Schizosaccharomyces pombe: one gene and its partners. Changing the gene in region 3 together with the main gene of any one other region gives a genetic interaction. Each region holds a gene or a part of one and is shown on either strand. Other genes may lie near its edges.

What was found. Genes that interact genetically often act in the same process or in processes that back each other up.
Region 1: of ecl3 (region 3) and ecl2, changing one enhances a phenotype caused by changing the other (phenotypic enhancement), as found in Schizosaccharomyces pombe (one study listed by BioGRID).
Region 2: of ecl3 (region 3) and hsr1, changing one suppresses a phenotype caused by changing the other (phenotypic suppression), as found in Schizosaccharomyces pombe (one study listed by BioGRID).

What each region holds. Positions count from the first base shown.
Region 1 is NC_003423.3:960,507-966,227, forward strand, and holds ecl2 (protein Ecl2), read right to left. Parts: upstream 2,010-5,721; coding exon 1,755-2,009; 3' UTR 501-1,754; downstream 1-500. Other genes in the region: SPOM_SPBP35G2.17 (uncharacterized protein), read right to left, coding at 3,449-3,769.
Region 2 is NC_003424.3:1,953,740-1,962,046, reverse strand, and holds hsr1 (DNA-binding transcription factor Hsr1), read right to left. Parts: upstream 4,575-8,307; 5' UTR 2,737-4,574; coding exon 988-2,736; 3' UTR 501-987; downstream 1-500. Other genes in the region: Lid2 complex PHD finger subunit Snt2, read left to right, coding at 1-337. UniProt on the Schizosaccharomyces pombe protein: Transcription factor that globally supports gene expression in response to hydrogen peroxide.
Region 3 is NC_003423.3:4,439,294-4,445,630, forward strand, and holds ecl3 (protein Ecl3), read right to left. Parts: upstream 2,535-6,337; 5' UTR 2,317-2,534; coding exon 2,047-2,316; downstream 1-2,046. Other genes in the region: pho84 (inorganic phosphate transporter), read left to right, coding at 4,959-6,337.

The DNA.
Region 1 (5,721 bases), 3.5 Mb from region 3:
TCAAATTGATGGGAAGAAGTACGCGAGAACAACAGAATCAAGTGTTTACGCGACAAAGAATGATATTTTTTTTAACCCTTTGACTTTATGCAAACAACTTCTTTCTATTTATTATTTTTTTTTTAGAGTCTTAATCCACCTTAGTTCTACTGCATTTAACAATTTCATTTTTAGTTTCAAATTTCTAAATATGTATTTCTATTTTGAGCTCTTATAACAAATGCTCACATGGTCCAGTGGTTAAGACTCATCGTTGTGGCCGATGCGACCCAGGTTCGATTCCTGGTGTGGGCACTTACTATTAAATTTATTTTTGCTAATTCCTGCCCTCTAGTTGGCATCCCAAATAGATCCATTTGAATAAAGATGAACACTTAACTAGAAAAGTAAAACAACCTTTCAACCTAATACTGCTGTACAAAGCGCTTTTATTATTCAGCCAGTATTTATGTATTACCTTTGCGCACAAAATAATTCGTTTACATGTCAACCACAGTAGATATACGTTAATTTTTTAATTTTATTTTTTCTTCTAGCAACCAAAGCACTTTAATAAAATTGAATATTTTTAAAAGCGTTTTCAATTTTTATGCTTTTTTTTTATCATAACAATATAAATTTCATCAAAATAAATATTTTATCGTTTTTTAAAGTACTGATGCCAGTTAAATGTCCGTATCGATTCGTAGAAAACAAAGTGCTTGGGTATAAAATAGTTTGATACGCAACCTCTAAAAATTGTCTAATGCAAAAATCCCACGTAAACGATGAGCCAAAAACTGAGAACTTAAAGCACGACACACATAAATAACTCTAAAGCTTCAAAACCAATGGGACAATGCAAAATGTTGATATGCAAAAGAAATGATGAAGTGAGGGAAAGCCTAGAGCTTCTATGTATTTTAAAAATACGCGCTCAGAAGAACTCAGCATAAAGTTGTCCCAGATGCCAGAGCATAATGTAAAAAGCACGAATGACAAATCTCGAATACAGTTAGACAGTGCAAATAAAATGCGATTGCAGAAAAGAAGTAAGAATAGTTGCGTGACACACCGAAACAAAAGTCCATATCATAAGAATAAAAGAATCGTAAAAAATATCCATCGTATTTCGAAAGAAATAAAAAATGCCATTACGAATTGACGAAAAAGTCCGAGTACCAAATCCACTCATACAATATCGTTATCATAGAAAATCATAAAAAACCCCAATGAAGCCAAACAAACATTGTAATGGAAACATACCATCAACATTGCGTGAACGAATTAAGTTGTACAACTCATGAAATAATGAAGTGCATAAACAAAATATACGCACCAACATCATTTGGAAATTTAAGATAGTATGTAAGGATGCTTGGCTATCAATTTAAGAAACATACACGGTATGAACCGCAAAAATCAATGATCAACTATTCACACACGGTTAGTGTAGTGATCATCATTTAAGAAAGGCATAAAAATTTTTAAGTATCATAATAATTTGAAAAAAAAAACTTCAAGTTATAAGAATTATAAAATAAAAATAGGTTTAAAAAAAGGCACAATTAAATATAAGTACCCATGAGAAATAAAAAATAAAATGGAACCGGAAGATAAAGAAATAAGTAAATAAATTTTCCCAGATTAAACAGGAGAAAATGAAAAAAAAAACCGAGATAGAGAGAAATGAAATATAATTTTTTTGAGCCGTTGGCAATGAATGTGTGTATATCAACGACACCGTCGTTGGAATAATGCAATGTAAGGTAAAATTAAAGAACAGCAAGTCTGGAAGCGACAAAACCGTTCAAAAGAGAAGACGAAGTGGATGGGGAAGGCATGGAAGACCTTCTTCGGAAATGATCTAAATATTGGGAAGATAACATATGAAGATCAGCCGACTTAGAGTAAGAACACTGCTCCGAAGTCGAACCACAGCCGGGGCAATCCTGCAGATGACATTCACGAGAGCAATACAAGTTGCCAGTAGTGGGTTTTCCGCAAATTATGCAATAATCCAAATCCATGTCTCTAACGAATACAAAAGGATGAAGAAATTAGAAAAAGAAAATTAAAATGACTTGTTAACGAGGAAAAACCAATGAATGAGCCAAGCTGAGGCGAGCTAGTATTGGATCCTATTGAAGAAAACCAGATAAAACGGATGAGCGTATAAAGCGGACTAAAAAGAAATTTCAAAGTCGAAATATACGGGACGTTTGGAAGATATTTCCGATTTAGTAGAGGAAGAAGAAAGAAAAGAACTTAGCTTCACAATAAAATAAAACAAATCCTTCTCAATTTCAAGGAAGAGATGAGTCCTGCGGGTGATTCAACAAGACGAAAAGAGGTTAGGATGGAGAAAACGAGGAAAAGTGAGTTCTACTCAATCACACAGCGAAACTGTTTGTCGAGGAAAACAAGAGACACTTAAGAAGGACAGTTCGTTTAGTTCAAGCAATCAAGAACAGCGAGTATAAGTCAAAAACCCTTTGCTGATCTATATGTTAATCTTCTACGACCTCTCAGTCGGACTGCTGCGCTCTATATATACATCTGAAAACTGCGCACGCAATCTGTCCAGATGATCTGACCTGAGATACCATACTATCGGTAAAATACGTTAAGAAAACAGCATACACTGTGTTTGATCTCATAATGCACATCCGACCGACTGCATATGCTAATACATTGCGTGAGTTGCGTACAATGTTACCTCTTCATAATTTGATTACAACACACAAGAGAAGAAAGCAGAACGACTGATGTGGGGGATTTGAGTCGGAAGTGGGAAACCGAGAAAAACACTGTGTGTACTAACTCGCATACTAAATGCACACACAAACGCTAGCTCAGCCGGGGTGTCATATACAATAGTAAAAACACACTACATTTTTTATTTTTTCATTTTAATTCTCGAATACTCTTCTACTCACTTTAAGCGACCTTTCGCATCATATTCTCCGCCTTTAAACCCCAAAAATACATGTGAGAAGACAGTTGTACGCCAGCTCACAACAACATGATGCTGATCGCACATCTTTGGACTGTAAAAAGAGGCACCGATGCAGTCAGTAGCGGAGCAAAATGGAGAACCATGGTGATGATGACTTTTTTTCAACGAGAGATTTAAGGCGATAGGTGGGGTCGAAATATAGCATGTATAAAGATGTGCAGGGCAGGGATGAAAAATTAAACTGACGGTTGGGAATGAATGAGAAAAAAAAGAAATTAGTTTAAATTATAATAAAATAGAATAAAATAAATGGAATTCAATAATAGAGAACTAGAGAAGTAAAAATAAAAAGAGAAAAAATAATAAAACAAAATTTACACATGATAGAGATATAAATATATTTCACTATTAGAGAATGGTTTTACTTTTATATATCTATTTATTTATTTATTTATTTTTTTTCGATTTCTAACGACAAAGTGCGAATCGTTTATTGATTATACATTGTATTTATGATAGTAGGTGAGCAAACAACCGGAACTCGAAAAATATTTGCGAAAACTTGCGTACAAAAAGATGAGTGAATTCTAATAAAATGAAATGACTGTGGCATGATTGATGTTTTGTTTCCCATGTCTCAATGAGTAGCATCAAAATTAATTTTACCTGTTGTCCTTGTGCGACACCCATAGCGGGAGAACTAGCTAAAAAAGAAGTGAAATCTCGTTGTTGTTTCACACATTGTCTTACAATTCCATGGAATGACTTGATTCTGAAGACGGTCGGAAGCAACTTTCTGCCTCGACCGGTAACGTAGAATTCACGTACCATTTACTTATACTCATGTAACCTTGTTGTAAGTGTTTGGGATCTTTGAATCTAACGTTCGCGGGATCTAGCACGTGTTACTCTGTAGTTTGCCACGAAGCAATAACTCCTCAGCAAAGAGCTAGGATGCAACACTCTGCCAACAGTAACAATCACCAACTGTAGTAGCTACTGGATCCGATCCCACCTGTGCTTCCTCTGTAGGTATGCAAAACATCCCACATAGGTACATCTATCCCACATTTTCACGTACCCATCCCACATGTATCCATCCTACATACATCCATGTGCTTTGCTATATGCAGAATACAATAGTGCTAAACGCATCAGAATCTTTTGGAAAAATTTTAACCTACTACTGGAATTCATTCATTTCATGAAATCGATTATTAAAGGACGTATGAATCTTGTTTACAAACCCATGAGGGTCTTTTTTGCATACTATGTTTTCAATGATTTTCCTTTGATCAGATAACGAACGCTGCGTGTTTCGGTTATGTGCTAGAAAAATCGCATTCCAACAAACGAGTAAAAATAGAATAAGATGGTTTAGTAATTAAACTCGAGAACGAAAAAAAAAATAAAATAAAAAAATAGAAAATATCGTATGTACGGCTTCTCAAGAAAAATTTTTTTCAAGTTCTTTTTCTTTTTTTGGCTCTAAGTAGGTAAGGCGTATTCAAATCAAAACTCCTTTCCCACTTTTTCCCATGTCTTCCTTGTTTTTCTTTGTTTTTATTTTTCTGTCAAGTTTCTCCTTTTTGGGACATTTATTTACTACTTTTTCCAGAATCTTGTATAAACACCCTATTCCATATGTATCTAGTACTATCCAGTGCAGCGGGACAAAGAGAAGCGTAGAGAAAAAAAAGCCAGTTATGCAAAAATCAGGATATTCGCTAAAGATATCAAGATGCAGATCATTCTCGTTTGTATTTTTTTTTCAAGGATGAAAAATTAGAAAAATAAAAAAAAGTAGAGAAAGAAAATGCAAGAACACTTCTTTGGTCATTTTTATTCAACATCGATTTTCTCATTAAAAATTTCTAATCCTTTCATGCTTTGTTGAACCAGTGAGGCATTTTTCAGTCGCATAAAAATATCAACAACAGGGGCGAGACACGGTTAAGGCAAGGGTTAACAGCGGTTCAGGTCCTTTTGCACGGATTCATGTCCGTAGCGACATTAGGAGTAAACCTTAGGAATATAAAAGTCAACCAAAAAATAGTACGTTCTCTTTCTTTCTTTTTTTTTTTTTTTTTCTCTAAATAATCAAATCCATAATGTTCAATCCTCCCACACCAATGTAATCCCGAATGTACGCATATCCATGTTTCTCTTAATAAACATTCACCATGGAAAAGAAAACACGTTACATATGGCGTGCCATTTCTTTCTTCAATGTAAAATTATACAAAGTTATACTTTTACGCTACCCCCAGCCTTGGCTTGCCCTCCCCCACCCTTCTTTCCATGACTTGTTTCACATCTATAGCGAACCTTTTCCCTTGGTCTTGCTTTGGTTGTCACCGTATTTCTGCGCTGTAACTTTGTCACGTGTCACCGTTCATTATTCTTGCATGTTCAAGCAACCGGTTTTTATCAAAATCCTATACATATATATTGTTACAATGAGCGCCACACGGCCCACATCCTACCCGCCTGGATAGAAACAATGTTACCAAGGAAGAACTTTGGTGTTGTCTTTTTCATGGGCCTTTTAGCTTAGTTGTTCGTATGCCTTGAAATTCTGTTCCTCATACAGTGCTACAAAAGTCTCGCTAATTTAACGTTGAAATTTCTACACTTTCTTTCATCTACCACGTAGAAATTTACGACTGAATAACTTTTTTTTGCGAGAAAACCAAAAAAAAAACAAAAAGGCCCCTTTATATTTATGTATAGATTTTCTTTTATTTATTTTTTAAAATTCTGGTATTCATACTATTCATCGA
Region 2 (8,307 bases), on a different chromosome or scaffold from region 3:
TGGCAACGTAACAGAAATAAATACCAACAAATGCATGATCAATTCCTGGACTTCTTTGCGGCCTGTTCTTTTTGGACCAAGTGAACAGTTGCCTAGGAACTTTTTGTTGCGCAATGACATTGTTCCGAATACTAATAATTCTGCTTGGAGCGAATATATACGCAATTTGTACCCTAAGGCATATATCTATTTACTTCAGTATACTATAGCAGTTTGTAAGCCGACTATCGCGCCAACCAATGTCGCTTGCTGCTGTAGCAAATGTAATTCCACCATGAGTCCTTTCTGGTGGCCTGGCAACATATGTCAGGCCTGTCATTGTTTGAGAGTTGAGTGATTTAAATTCTGCCATAAACTCTCCATGTAATTTTATATTCGTTATTATTATTATTATTATTATTATTATTTTATTTTTTTGGAGTTTACGTTACGTCTTTTATGATACTTTGCAGTGGCTTTACTTTTTAGCTTATCCAGCTAAGATGTTCACAAAAAAAGGATCAATATGTTTTCATCCGAAAACACAACAGTCATTCATTGAAATAGTTTATTTCATGTACATATTAACAACAAATAACAGTATATCTTTCACTGTACATTAGTTTATTGGATTTGTAAAACCGTTCCTTGAAGAACCCCAAAACGAAAATCATTTGTAGCTATCGCTCCGAGCCTTTATGATAAACAACTAAAAAATTTTAAAAAATTGGAACGATAAAAAATCACCGCTAAATAGTCCCTCATAATATAACACGCTCAAGCTTTAAGTATTATATCCGGCGTTATGCCTTGATAATAGCCTAAAGATAGCAAAGCAGGATATGCTAGTAAACAATGAAATTGCCATTTTGAAACGTAAAAAATAGATTTAGTAAACATGTAAATAGGTAGAAAAAAGGCTGATGAAAAATTATAATTGAAAACATTCTTATAAAACAGTTCAATGTAAAAAAAACCCGAATTTAGGCAGTTAATTTATAAAAATGCTTAAGAACTAGGATAAGGTTGATATTGATGCATCGGATTCATTAAAGGCATTTTTTGGTTAGGTGTTTGTACTGGTAGTTTAGATAGAAGTTCTGGACGAATTGAATTTGGGTAAGCAGCGATTTCTGGGACAATTTGTTGAGACAAAGGCCTTTGACTAGATAACATTAAATTAGTGTTTTCAATCTGAGAGCTATCCATGCCTTGATTAATTGGAATCTTGTTTAAATCTTCAATTGGTTTTTGTGGTTGCACTGGAGCACCTGGAGCACCAGAAGAATAATAACCTGAAGGTTGGAAAAAACAGGCTAATCTAGGGCTTGCGTTGACATGCAACCTTTCATGCTGCCGTAAATTATCTCTACGAGAAAAACGTTTTCCACATATACAAACAAATGGCTTTTCACTAGTATGTAGAGATCGAATATGTCTTCTCAAATGTTCAGATCGTTTAAACTTTTTGCTGCACTCAGGGCATACAAATGATTTACCACCTGGTGAACGTGGTACTGAAGTCTTTCTATTAGACGGCTGTCGACGTTTTCTTCTCTTCATCGAACCGTCAGTACCAATCGTCCCTATTTGTTCTGTAGCTTCCATTGAATTAGGGGATCTACCCGATGTGTTTGTCTGATTTAAATACGTTGACATTGTCTCTCCAGAATTATAGGAACCCGTAACTGACTGCTGAGGGGTATCATTATAGGAAGTAGAAGGAATACCACCATTGTATGAATTCACATTAACTTCTTGTTCAGCATGATAAGACGGGCCAGAAGATTTAACGGACGGACATGAACAATTGGAAGGGATAGAGGAAGCCGTAGACAATGGTCCGCTTGAAACAGTAAGACAAGGTGAAGGTGGAAGTTGAGATACCAACGTAGTATATGAAGGCACGAGAGCATTGGGATTATATGAAGGCTGTTGAAAAGGATAATTAGGAACAGTAGTAGGAAAGTTTTCACAATTAACATTGGGTTGAGCTCTCAGTAAGTTATTCTGATATTGGGTATGCGGCCGATACTCATGCGACCATTGGTAATTTATTTCTTGAGGATTGGGAGCCGTAGAAGCTTGAGTGTTATAGAAATTGAATGAAGAGGGAATGTCAGTCGCATCATGCGCAGTATTGGTTGAATACATATAACCCTGTGAAGCTTCGGTATGCGAACTCTGAGGTGGGGCAAGATTATGCTGAGCACCTGCTTTATACCAATCGTAGAATGAAGAATCTACCGTATCATCATACGTTTGAGAAGGTTGATGGTATTGAGCTATCCGACTTTTAGAAATACCAGGATTTTGAGGCGGTGGTTGGAATCCATTGTTGTTATTCAACTGTTGAGTAGTATTGTTGCTATTTAAAGTAGAGCCATCATTATAGACTTGCGAAGGGTGCTGCGATGTGGAAAAGGAAGCAGATGGATATTGAGATGTACCACCAATAAAGGATGTTAAAGGCTCAGTTATAAGTGCAGTATTATGAGATTGTGCGCTACTTGGCGAAAGGGAAGGAGCCAAAGAAAAATGAAGAGTAGAAACCAATGGAGGCTTATTATCTTGTGAATCGACATATGCAACACTAGAATTATGAGTTGAAGGATGTGAGGGTAAAGAATATTCACGACATGAATTGGAGGGTAAGGGAGATGATGATTGTGCTGGGGCAAATGGACTGGTGTTTACCTGGGGAACCATTCGTTCAGAAAGAGTAACAAGGGGCATTGCCTCAGGAAAGAAAACCATACAAAGTAAGATAAAAGAATTATTATAAAAAGAAAGTAAGCGAATACTTTTCAAAAATAAAAAATCAACTAAAGAAAAGACAAAAAGAGAGGTAACGGAATATAGTCTTGCTAACTTATTGTTTATACACTTAGCGTTCGTAATATGCAAGTTTAAGAACGAAAAAAAAGTTCAATTGCAAGGGGGATCCTATCGAAAAAATAAATGATTATGTAAGCCTTAAAATAGAATAGAATTGATACGTAACAAAAGGTATTTTTGACTGCAAACAACGTAGCTTGCAGCAAGAAATACAAGGATCGAAAAGTATAAGTTCGACAAATATATAAGTAAAGCGGAAATAATTGAAGAACAAAACTTAAAAGATTAAGGAGCAAGACCAAAAAAGTTAAACGGAAAGAAACAAACGATCGTCTACAATAACAAGCAAGCCAACAAGTTTATTGACACAGGAAAATCAAGTGTAAAAAATGTTAACAATACACAAAAAAAATACGTTTAAAGGGTCTGTAAAACTCAATGGCACTAGAAACTTGAATAAAGTATGATCGATTTTTAGAAAGCACCGATTTCCTCTTTGAATTTTACTGAAAAAGAAGAGAAGATATGTCTAGTGAGTGAATAAAAAGGGAATAAAAGAAAAAGAAAGAAAATGTATTGATTTGTCGCGGAAAGACGAGTAAAAAGGGAATAAATAAGGGACGCGACAAATCGAAAAAAAAGAAAAGGACGAGAGAACAAGTATGACAGAGTTATAAGGCTGTAGACATCAAAATCAAGACAAAAAAGATATGATTATTTAGATGTTTATAAAAAAAGATAAAAAGCCAGAATTAGTATGAGGCAGAACTGAGAAAAGTTAATAGTACGAGACGAAAGTGTAGTAAGTATCCAAGAATTGAAAGAATCAAAGCAGTAGAGGAAAGATGTATCTGGAATAAAAAAAATTACAGTACAATTATTAGAAAATAAAAAGAAGGAAAGCCTTGATCTGCTGATAGGAAAAGAAAAAATGCTGTGAATAAACAAGCGTTCTATCGAAGAAGCAATGTGATTCTTATAGATTGGAAAAAAAGAAAATTTCGAAAGGAAAGTTCCAAATTAAGATTCAAGAAGATAAATTAGGAAAAAAATAAGCTATTTGAGTGAAACGTTTACTTCACTACCAATGCCTCAAACCCACAGGAGCACGATGTGCAACAACAAAAAAATATGGATTAAGAAACAAAGACAAATGAAATTAAGGGGAAATTTTTAACTTTTGAATAATGAGGATAATAAAAAGGAATGGCTTTTGTACTTTGTAAAGGAAAAGGGTAAATGTATCAATTTATGTTCTGGTAACCTTTGTGATGCAATTCGGTATATGAGAGCCTGGAGCGATTATAAAAGTGTGTATTGTGCACACATATATCAATATATCAATTAAAAAGATTGAGCATATAAGAAGAGATAATAGTGTAAGATGGGTTTGCAAACACTAGCTGAGCTACTCCTTTGTAGGCAAAAAGAAAAAGGAATATTGGAGAAAAAAAGAAAAAAAAGGGTGTGTGTCGAGTGTGAAGGCAGTATGTATGACTTGAAAAAGGAAACGGCACACTCGGTTCCGACGAGCAAGGGGAAATCAGTTACAAATTCAACCGATTGAAAAGAGAAATTACTTATTTTTACTCTTCCCCAAAAAATATACTAGGCGTAGTAAAAAGCGCTATACTTTTGACTACGTTGTATGTATATGTATATGTGTATATAATACAGATGAGCAAGTTTATGTGGATGCAGATATATAGGGATATATGTACACAGACAAACTACCTTTTTCCTAGACGAGAAAAACTAAACGTTGAAACGCCAGAAGAGGCGAGTTTAATATGTGGGAAACTGAGACTAGCGCTTCAATGATGTGGAAATCTGTTCCTTATCTAAGAAGCGACGGTTTCGTTTACACGTATCGACACGATAATACCGTAGCGATGTTACGCAAGTGTGTATCCACCATATCAACCAACAAACGTCTGCAAGAGGCAAAAACTGACGGTTCGCTGACAACGAGTTCTCCCATAAAAGAAATGTGATGATGTTGGAGTAAGCCGATGTCACTGTAACACTCATCACGTGGCGATTGGGAAGACAGCACTTCCACCGTTTATGTAAGATTAGAAAAAAGACGCGATCGAGATTGTAGTGCTGTAAATTGGTATGCCAAAGTAGAAAAAACAGAGAGCAGGTCGTTTTTTGTTACAAAAAAAAAAGAAAAAGATGGAAATTTACGGCTTTATTGATTGATGAATAGTTTAAGAGAAACTCATTTTATTTTATTGATGAGTTTTCAATTTTTTGCTAAAAGTAACCTACGGGATAATCCGAGTGTGAAGAGGATGTGTAGCAAATTTTTACCTACATTCAATCCCGTATGCTTTGGCGGGGAGAGGGGAGAGATAAAGGATGATTATTGGTCAAGGTGAATAAGAAAGAAAAAAACTTGCTGCAGCAGCGACAACGTTCAAGTTAAGCGTAAACCAATGTAGCTTGGCAGATAGAAATGAAAAAGAAGAGGAAGAAAAAAAAAAGGCTATAGAACTGGAGCATATGGTTTGAGGATAAGGAATGTGTATTCCAAACTGAGAGACATAGTTATAAGTATGATTCTTTGTTTATTTTATAAACCATGAAAAACTAGAACTTTTATTATCTGCTACAATGGTTTTTCTAATTCTATTTGTTTACCATATGGTGGTGGTGATGGATGATCAGACAAGATATTGATTGATATCGTACATTGGGGGTAAAGAGGAAATTTTGCTATTGAATCTCGCTCCCATTTTTCGTTTGTAAACTTATTTATTTTATAATTATTTTTATTTCTTTTATTTATTTAATTAATTATTTAATTAATTGATTTATATTTTAATTGTATTTTTGTGCATTTTTTATAAGACCCGCATACTCGATGAATGCAAAATGTATTCTTACATCTTATTCAGCTCTATCTTGGGGTTTTCTCTACTTTTTTTCTGCCCATACATACACACACACTTAGTGCTTTCAAAAACCGACAATCCATGTTTCATTCACTGGATCGGCAGTTAAGGAGAGAGAGTAAATGAAAGGAGGGGCAAGGGGGAAGCAGGGAAATGCGTAGTTTTAACTTTTAACAGACCTTTATAACAAAGATATGAATTGTAAAATGCAGTCCAGTTTAATCCAATTCGCAAGCACTAACTCCATTGGCATAAATACTAACCCACCCTTATTGCTCATCGTGCGCTTCATTCATAAGTTGCTTGCATTGGCTGGCTACGAATGATTTGCTTGGGTACGCAACGCATTATTATTAATTACCTAAAAAAAAAAAAAGAAGGACCTAGCTCCTGTGTGTGTGTAAATTTTTTTCTTTGAAGTATTGAAAGAAAAAAAAATTTTTCATTCGTTTTATTCTTGTTTTTTTTTTTTTTTTATCTTTGTTTCATTTGTCCAAGAATGGTTTTGTGGCAAGTAGCTTAGCCTACATAACGTCTGTTTGATAGAATTGTAAAAAAAAAAAAAAAAAAAAAAAGCGAAAAAAAAAAATATATTCCCTTTGCTAATAAAAAATTGTTTGTTAACTTTCTTCTAGGTCAAGCTGACGATGACTTTGTAATTGTGTATCACGCACGCACTAAGCTTCAGTTGTTAAAAATAAATCGCCTTACAAACAAAGAAAGCAAATCAAATAGCATATTAATTTGTTTTGTTCGTCCGCCTCGCTATTCTATGGATCGATCTCAGCTCCAGTGCTTGGTTTATCTGAAAACTCACTCACGCTACGCCGATACCACCACTATGGGTGTCACTTGCTCCGGGACATTCAACCGACCGAAGAGAAAACAAGGAAGCGGTTGTGAGGAAATACCAAATATCTTTGTAGAGGTTTTCTGACATAGTAACAGAGGGGATCCCATAGGAAATTCAAACAATTACCATTGAATTCATTGGAAATGTTTGCCGAAGGGAAAGCATAAACTACACTACGCTGGACAGGCAATTACTTTCTTTCCATTTCATTAGGTGACACACGCTTCAAACTTCTTCTAGCCGATCTGTATAAGAGATTCGGCTGACGTCTATCGGTATCTTAAATTTGCGCTTTCTCTCTCCCACAAAAAGAAAAAACTACAACGCAACCGAGGTAACAGATAAAAACAACAAACGAGACCATTCCATGGCTGTTTAATCTTCATGCTTCTTGTCCCGTTTTTGTATGTATGAGAAATATTTCTAATATGGTTTATATTTCCCTTTTGACACTTTGAGTGGAAATACACTTTTGGTCGATATGCTACTCTTGTAGGTAGTATTTGCGTAGGCAATTAACTTTTACACTTGCTTCTTTGTGTGAAAATGAGTCGCTGTTGAATTCTTTTGCTTCTATTAATAATCCGCGCATATGAAAATGAAACGATCGCGGTTACTGAAAAACGAATGACTGTGTAGGTTTACTATGAAAATTATAGATGAGTGATTTTTGTTAAATAAAAATAATATATTTATTTATTTATATTTAAATTCATATATTTATATAGTTAAATAAATAAATAAATTATTTTTTATGATGGTTGCAATGCAGTTTTTTGCATTTTGACATCACAAGATTGGTATAACGAAGACTAATTAGTAATAGTATTCTGTTTTGTTTATCTATTCGTTTGCTTGTTTTTTTCATTACTTGTTTTTCCTCCTGCTTACTCTCCTCTCGGATGATTTGTATTTTTGCATTCAACCATGTTTACTCCTTCTTGCAACCTAACACTCAATTTGATCGTCTATCAAAAACATGGTCAACCTTTTTAACTCGGTCTTTCACTTATCTATCTTACTAGTGGGTACTTGCTAACCTCGTTTCTCGTTTCTCGTTTATTCCTGTTCCTGTTCCACGGAGTATACAGAGAGAAAAGGCGAGACATTCATGTGGATAACAGGTCTGTCTCGAAGGTGGGCGATAGATTTTCAATTAACTAATCCATTCAACAAGTACTGATAGAGAAAACCTTATATCGCAGCACATAATAGATTATACTATAACAATCGGAACCAAACACTGTTGGACTAGGGGTTAAGGGCATTTGAATTTTGCATGTATCGGGGGTGCTTTTTTTTTTTTTTTTTTTTGGATCTCTTTTTTGTTAACTTCTCCTTCCTCGTACATGTGTTGGCAAGCGAAAAAGAGACATATTCCCCTAGGATGTGCTTTCGAGTTAAAATTTGTAACAACATGAAAATTCATATCAAGACAGACAAAAACGTGTTATTTCATTTGTTCGAATGCGTTATCGTATTCGATGTTGATTTTTAGAATAATAGAATCGTATGACTTGTTGGCTGTTCAAATGTACGAAAATTCTTTTAGCGATGTAAAAAACAGTGGAGTAATTAAATTTGTCAATATACTCTTTTTAACTTTGCCTTGAGTACCACATTCCCTTACATGCATGAAAAGTGTTATTTTAGTCACGGTACTATGCCAGCAAATTTGCCGACAGTTAGAATAAATAATTAATTAAATGAATAAATTGACTAATAAATTAATTAATT
Region 3 (6,337 bases):
TTAGTTGAGCGCTTACCATTCTTCAATTATATAAGTTGCTTCATGGATTTACATTTCTTTTCATTTCTACTACGTAAATCAGTTCCCAATTTGTGCAATAAACGTTTTTAGTTACTATCAGCCTTTCTTGATTATTCTAGTTTAGTAAAATTCGCACAGTCATGGTAATTCAACTATGTCTGTTGTTGCACCTGAATATAATTCAAAATAGCACACGTTGCAGCGCAAGGTGTTTCGAAAATATCAGGCATCATTATTTCAAGCGTTTTCATTGTTTCCTGTATTAATATTATAATATAATATATCCACACCAAGACTTTGCAATGGAGACTGTGAATTGATGTCAATTTCCTTGAGTGTCTACTCACGGACTGTATTCTATGGTTTCCTATTCTCCTTGGTATTGTTATCTGAGTTGTGATACTTAAACACGGGGAATTTTTGATAATCATATGCCATGACGATGATCTTTCTTCTGAACATAAAGTTATCCAGGCCGAGTACCACTCTTGTCAAATTTTGCGGAGACCTAGAGTTCGTTGGTAGATCTCTCGGCAGCTAGAAATACTAAGAAAGATATTCGCTACCACACTTTAGAATATGAACTACGCTGTTTCCAACGGTTGACTGATTCATTTACAACTTCAGTATGGAGGTTTGCGCATCGTTACGGTATTTCCATCTTTTCGTCGTTAATTATTATGCTGTAAATTTTGGTTGGTTGTTTTTCCTTGAATATTCATTGATTATAAACAGTATTTCGTTGTTTATTTCCTAATTTTCCAGTTATGGATGAGCTAGCAGGATACTAAACAAATGGGATACTAAATCTCCATCCTGTGGCAATATTAAGTTTATTTTTGAAATTTTTTATGATGTTCATGTACTATTAAACTCGCCAAGGTCTTAACTCATGTAGACATCAATGATATGGTAATTCTGCATTTGTGATTCTTTATATTATTTACAAATTTATTATAATTATTGAATTCGTAGCATTTACACTTCTTGAGAAAAATCTTAAGCACATTCCAATCTTTATTTTTTTTTTACTGTTCTTATTCTAATAAATTTGCCGAAGCTAATTTACAGAAAAAATCCAAATCAGTGACATCTACACGTCCCACTTTTTGTACACATTTTTAAAAGTTTAGTATATAAAAAATCTTTAATAAATCTTTACTAGTTGTATGGTGCATAGAAAACGAGAAGCGAAATTAATTATTATTTAATTCAAATAACTCTGATTCAGTAAAATAAGATGTATAAAGAAAAGATGAAATGACAAATTAATATTAGTTAAACAAAAATAGTTCATTAAATTTTTAACTAAATGACAAGATGTAAATAAATAAATAAATAAATAAATAAAAAATGCAGCCACAAATAACGAAAAATAAAGAAAATTAGGCACACTATAATAAAACAAAAAAGATCGTTCTAGCATTGGTGTTAATTGCTAGTCATTATTGCCGAATGTATGCAAATGAAAGGAAATTGACGTTAGTCCTATTAATATAAAGAAAATGCTTTTTAATAAAAAAAAAAGCTTTAAATGTATAAATGAATATCAATAATGTTATCGTAAACAAATGATTCTGTAAATGTATTTTTTTAAGATAGACTCAAGGGTAGAGTGACAAGCTCCGTAATATATTTAAATGGATATCCCTTAATATCATTATGAAACATTCTAAAGTGATGCTAAATGAGCTCAGGATTGAAGAAAAAAAAATTAAAGTAGACCCTCTTTTTTTTTTAATTTCAAAAGAAAATTAAAGATAAATAATGCAATTAGTGAGGGTGATAAAAGAAAAGAAAAAAAATCCGAGGAAACGCGAAAGAACTGTAGGTAAGTAACTAAGAAAGAGAATGTAAAAAACAAATGAAGCCGAAAATGAAAAAATGATTAGGGAAATCCAAACTATACCAAATTTTATTTGATACTAACTTCCAATAGCCTCAAAACCGATAATTTATGTAGCTCGATCAAATAGAAGAGAAATGCTTCAAAGAGTAGAAAAAACATTAAAGGTAAAAAATTTTCTAATTCTCAACACTATAATTCTTCAATTCGGTATAATATATCCCAGAATAAATTGAGGAATTCGACGAAGAGCACATTGAAGATCGTCTGCTGAAAAGATCAAAGTAATTCAAAGCAAGGTAGTCTATTGTCTCGTTGAGAGAAGGCGACTTCAAGGGATCAGAAAACAGCTCTGTCGTAGCTTTATCCTGAATTCGACATTCATTTGAGCAATACAATCCTTCGGCATCGATGGAGTTACCACATAGCAAACATAAGTTTAAATCCATTTTTTCTTTAAAATAGCTAACTTTGAAAGATAACGAAAAGACGAACGTCAAAATCCGTTGGTTTGCTTGAAAATAGAAAAAAAAATTGAGAAGGAAGATTGAATTATAAAAAGAGCTTTTGCAATTGTCCTTCTTTTTCTCTATTCTAGTGAAAGAATGAGAGGAGAAACGAAGACTTTATCGTAGATAAATGAAAGAGAAGAATTCTCTAGAGTCCTGGCGTATCTCAAACGCACTCCTCCATATATATATAAGAAAGACAAGAATTACGAAGGACGATGTAAAACCATAAACAGGGATTGCAGATTACCGTGAAAGGATGTGTATCAACGTATCATTCTCGACTGTGAATCTAGGGAAATGTTGAGAGAATAAAAAAAAATAACAAATCAAAATTGCCGAGTCTTAGGAATGTCATAATTTATTTTCTCTCAAAAGGTTTATTGTGCGACATGGAGCCGGCATCTAATTTACAGTCACTTATACGATGTCAAGTCACAACAAGCAACTATGGTAGCAAGAGAGTAGTTACTTCACATTCCCATGAGAATAGAACAGTCCAAAATCCTTCTCACACATTCCTTTTCGCTTACACGAATTTCAATTTTTATTATTTATATTTTTTTTATCTTCGAACGATGTGAGTAAAATGCGTGTGAATTCGGCAATATACGACGCTGGAAATAAATTAGTAAACTGCCCTTGACTGATCACGATAGTTATATGGAAGAAATTGTTTCGACTATCCTAACTTAATTCCTATTATTTTCAGAAAAGGGTTTAATTTTTCCAATCTTCCAGTTCAGTTTGCATACCGAACGGTACACAATCTTACCCTGTCAAAAACCCCCTTTTTCAATTTAAAAAAATGACGTCACACACTGCATCAATAGCTATATAAGAAGCCTGAGTACCTAACTATTCAAATTTTTAATTTTAATTTAAACGCATTGGTAGTATGAAATAGAACGAAATAAGTCATAGAGGATGAGATAGAATTAATTCATAACAAATTAAACTATGAAAATCGTTAGAAATTGAAATTTATTAATATCGACATCTGTCCTTATAATAATTAATTAGTTTCCACGGTCTTTTCTTGAAAATTATTCTGCGTTTTGTCGAACTAGAATAATGCACGAAAGATTAACTCATCGTTGCTTTTAATTAGATAGCAAGAATGTAAAACAATGGAATTTGCTACTCGACACGAAAATTCAAAAATTTTCGAATACTATCAAATCATCTTATATCCATTACACTTGTTGAAGGGTGGCGGGCGGTAAAATCCTCGTATCCGTTCATCTTTTTGCTTCGGCAGTATATGCTGCCTAATAAATTTTAGCGTTCGGTAAACTGAGGTTCCTAAAATAAACTACGGTTTACGTGCATGAATGGAACATACTTGGAACCGAAATTGCTGAAGTGGCTGTTTTGTGCGGATGCCGGTTGTCAGGTCAATTCCGTGCAGAACATTCTGCTCGGTACCTGGTAGTTGTTAATTTCAAAGACCGACAATAGGAGAGGTGAGGGGAATTTTGTAGGATGGCGGCATTTCCGTTCGCCGAGTTTAATGGAAGTGGAAGCATGCATGCTTTGTTGATGTCTATTTTGTCAAAGAAATCTTATCACCCAACATCCTATCGGGTTGGAGGATATCGGAACCAACTTATCCGGGTGTTCTGTGTGTGGGCATGCATTGAGCTACACAGCATCAATCCGTGGTATTCTGGAATGTATACTTTTGAAACCGGCCGATTACTGGTTTTAAAACAACGACATCGCGTGCTTTCCATGGAATTGAAAAAACCAAACAGCTCGACGATTAAACCGTGTTTTACTTGGGCCAATTCTGTATTGTATAATGACATACTGATTTTTATTTTCGCAAATTTCATTTTGAATGCATACCGTATTGAGTTCTCTGCAGTATGAGTTTGTCTCTTAACTACAATTTTGTCTCAATTAGTAATGTCAACGTTATTAACTTAAGATTTCCGAGTGGGTCTAACGAGGGTATTACCACTTTTGCAACTTTTTTATGAACTGATACCCCTTTAGTATAATTGTCTGTTTTTGCAGTTGTCCGCTAGTGCTAATTCTTTTACTTTAAAGTGCAAATCTTAAACCAAATTGACCCATTACTTTCCCTCAGTTTTCTAACACCGCGTTACCTTAATCCTGAAATAGAAAATTTTAATTGTTAATATTTTTTTACTATTTTTTTATATTTCCTTATTGGATTCATATCAGTTACAAAGCAAATTGGACGGTTTACTTATAAACATAGTGTTTTGCATTTCCGATTTCTTCCTGTTTTGCTATTTTGTTTTGAAATAAGATTAAGCAGGTGGTGAATGTGCCGGTTGCCAGGGAACGTCAACACCAAAGCTTTTGATCTTAATTATTAATTTTTTTTCTATAACAAAGCCACCAATCTGACAAACTGGTAGTTTACTATATATATTGCTCCATTGCATACTGAATTATCTGTGTGTGTAAACCACCGGTACTCAGTTTTCTTAATTCTAATTGCAACCGCATTCGGACTTCATTAATTTGCATAAAGCAGCGATTAAGACTTACTTTATCATTCATTGCTTTCCTTTTCTCTCATATTTTGAACGCAAGGAAATCACAAGATGGCATTTGGGAGCAAAATTTTAAACATTGGATCTAAGTCTGATGAGTATAACGACGATGCAGTACCTCTCGACCAAGTCGAAGAGGGTGCGCAAGAGCGTCGCTATTACTTGGGGTTGACAAAGCGCGAATTTAAACTTATGATGCTTGCAGGTGTCGGGTTTTTCCTTGACAGTTACGATCTTTTTATCATCAATTTAGTTACTCCCATTTTTGAATATCTTTATTGGGGTGGTATTGAAAAAGGTCCCACAGGAAAAGGCCATTATCCCTCTGGTATTCGTGGTCTTGTAAATGCGTCAGCCAATATTGGTAACATTTTTGGACAACTGTTATTTGGTTTTATGGGTGATTTCTTTGGCCGTAAATTTGTCTACGGTAAAGAAATGGTTATTGTTATCATCGCTACTGTTCTGGTTATCGCTATGCCTAAAAGCATTCATTCTCCTCTTTCGAAAATGATGTGGGTTTTCTGTTGGCGTTGGTTGCTCGGTGTAGGTATTGGTGGTGATTATCCAATGTCTGCCGCTATCACTTCTGAGCGTAGTAAAATTAAACGACGTGGTACACTTATTTCTTTAATTTTTGCCTTCCAAGGTTTCGGAACTCTTGCTGGTGCCATTGTTACCATCATCCTTTTGGGTTGTTTCGAACATCCATTGAATCGGGAAGGTCATTATCATAAACTCGAAGGTGTCTGGCGTCTTCAATTTGGTCTTGCTTTGGTTCCTGCTATTGGTGTTCTTATTCCCCGTCTCATCATGAAAGAATCTAAATCATACGAGAATTCTAAAGCACTTAATAGTGCTGAAGGAAAAGATCCAAAGGCATTCTTCAATACCGATGATGAGGACAATATGAAGAAGTCATCTAGCCATGGTGACTCCGAGGTTGTCGAAGCTTCTGATCGTTATGCTAATCAAGCAGATGCTGCTGACGCTGAAGTTGATAACATTGAAAAACAATTTGCCGCAGTTACAACCCCTGAAAACAGCAGTGGATTTATCACTTACTTCAGACAATGGCGTCATTTTAAGCATCTTTTGGGTACATCTGTTTGTTGGTTTCTGTTGGATATTGCCTTTTACGGTGTCAATCTTAATCAATCTGTCATTCTCAAGAATATTGGCTTCAGTACTGGTACGAACGAATACCGCACATTGATGAAAAACGCAATTGGCAACTTGATTATCGCTGTTGCCGGCTATGTTCCTGGATACTGGTTCAACGTCTTCCTTGTTGAAATTCTTGGACGTAAATGGATTCAACTACAAGGCTTCGTGATTACTGGTTTGATGTTTGCAATTTTGGCAGGACGTTGGAACGAAATTTCCACTGGTGGTCGATTTGCTTGTTTTGTTATTGCCCAACTGTTTTC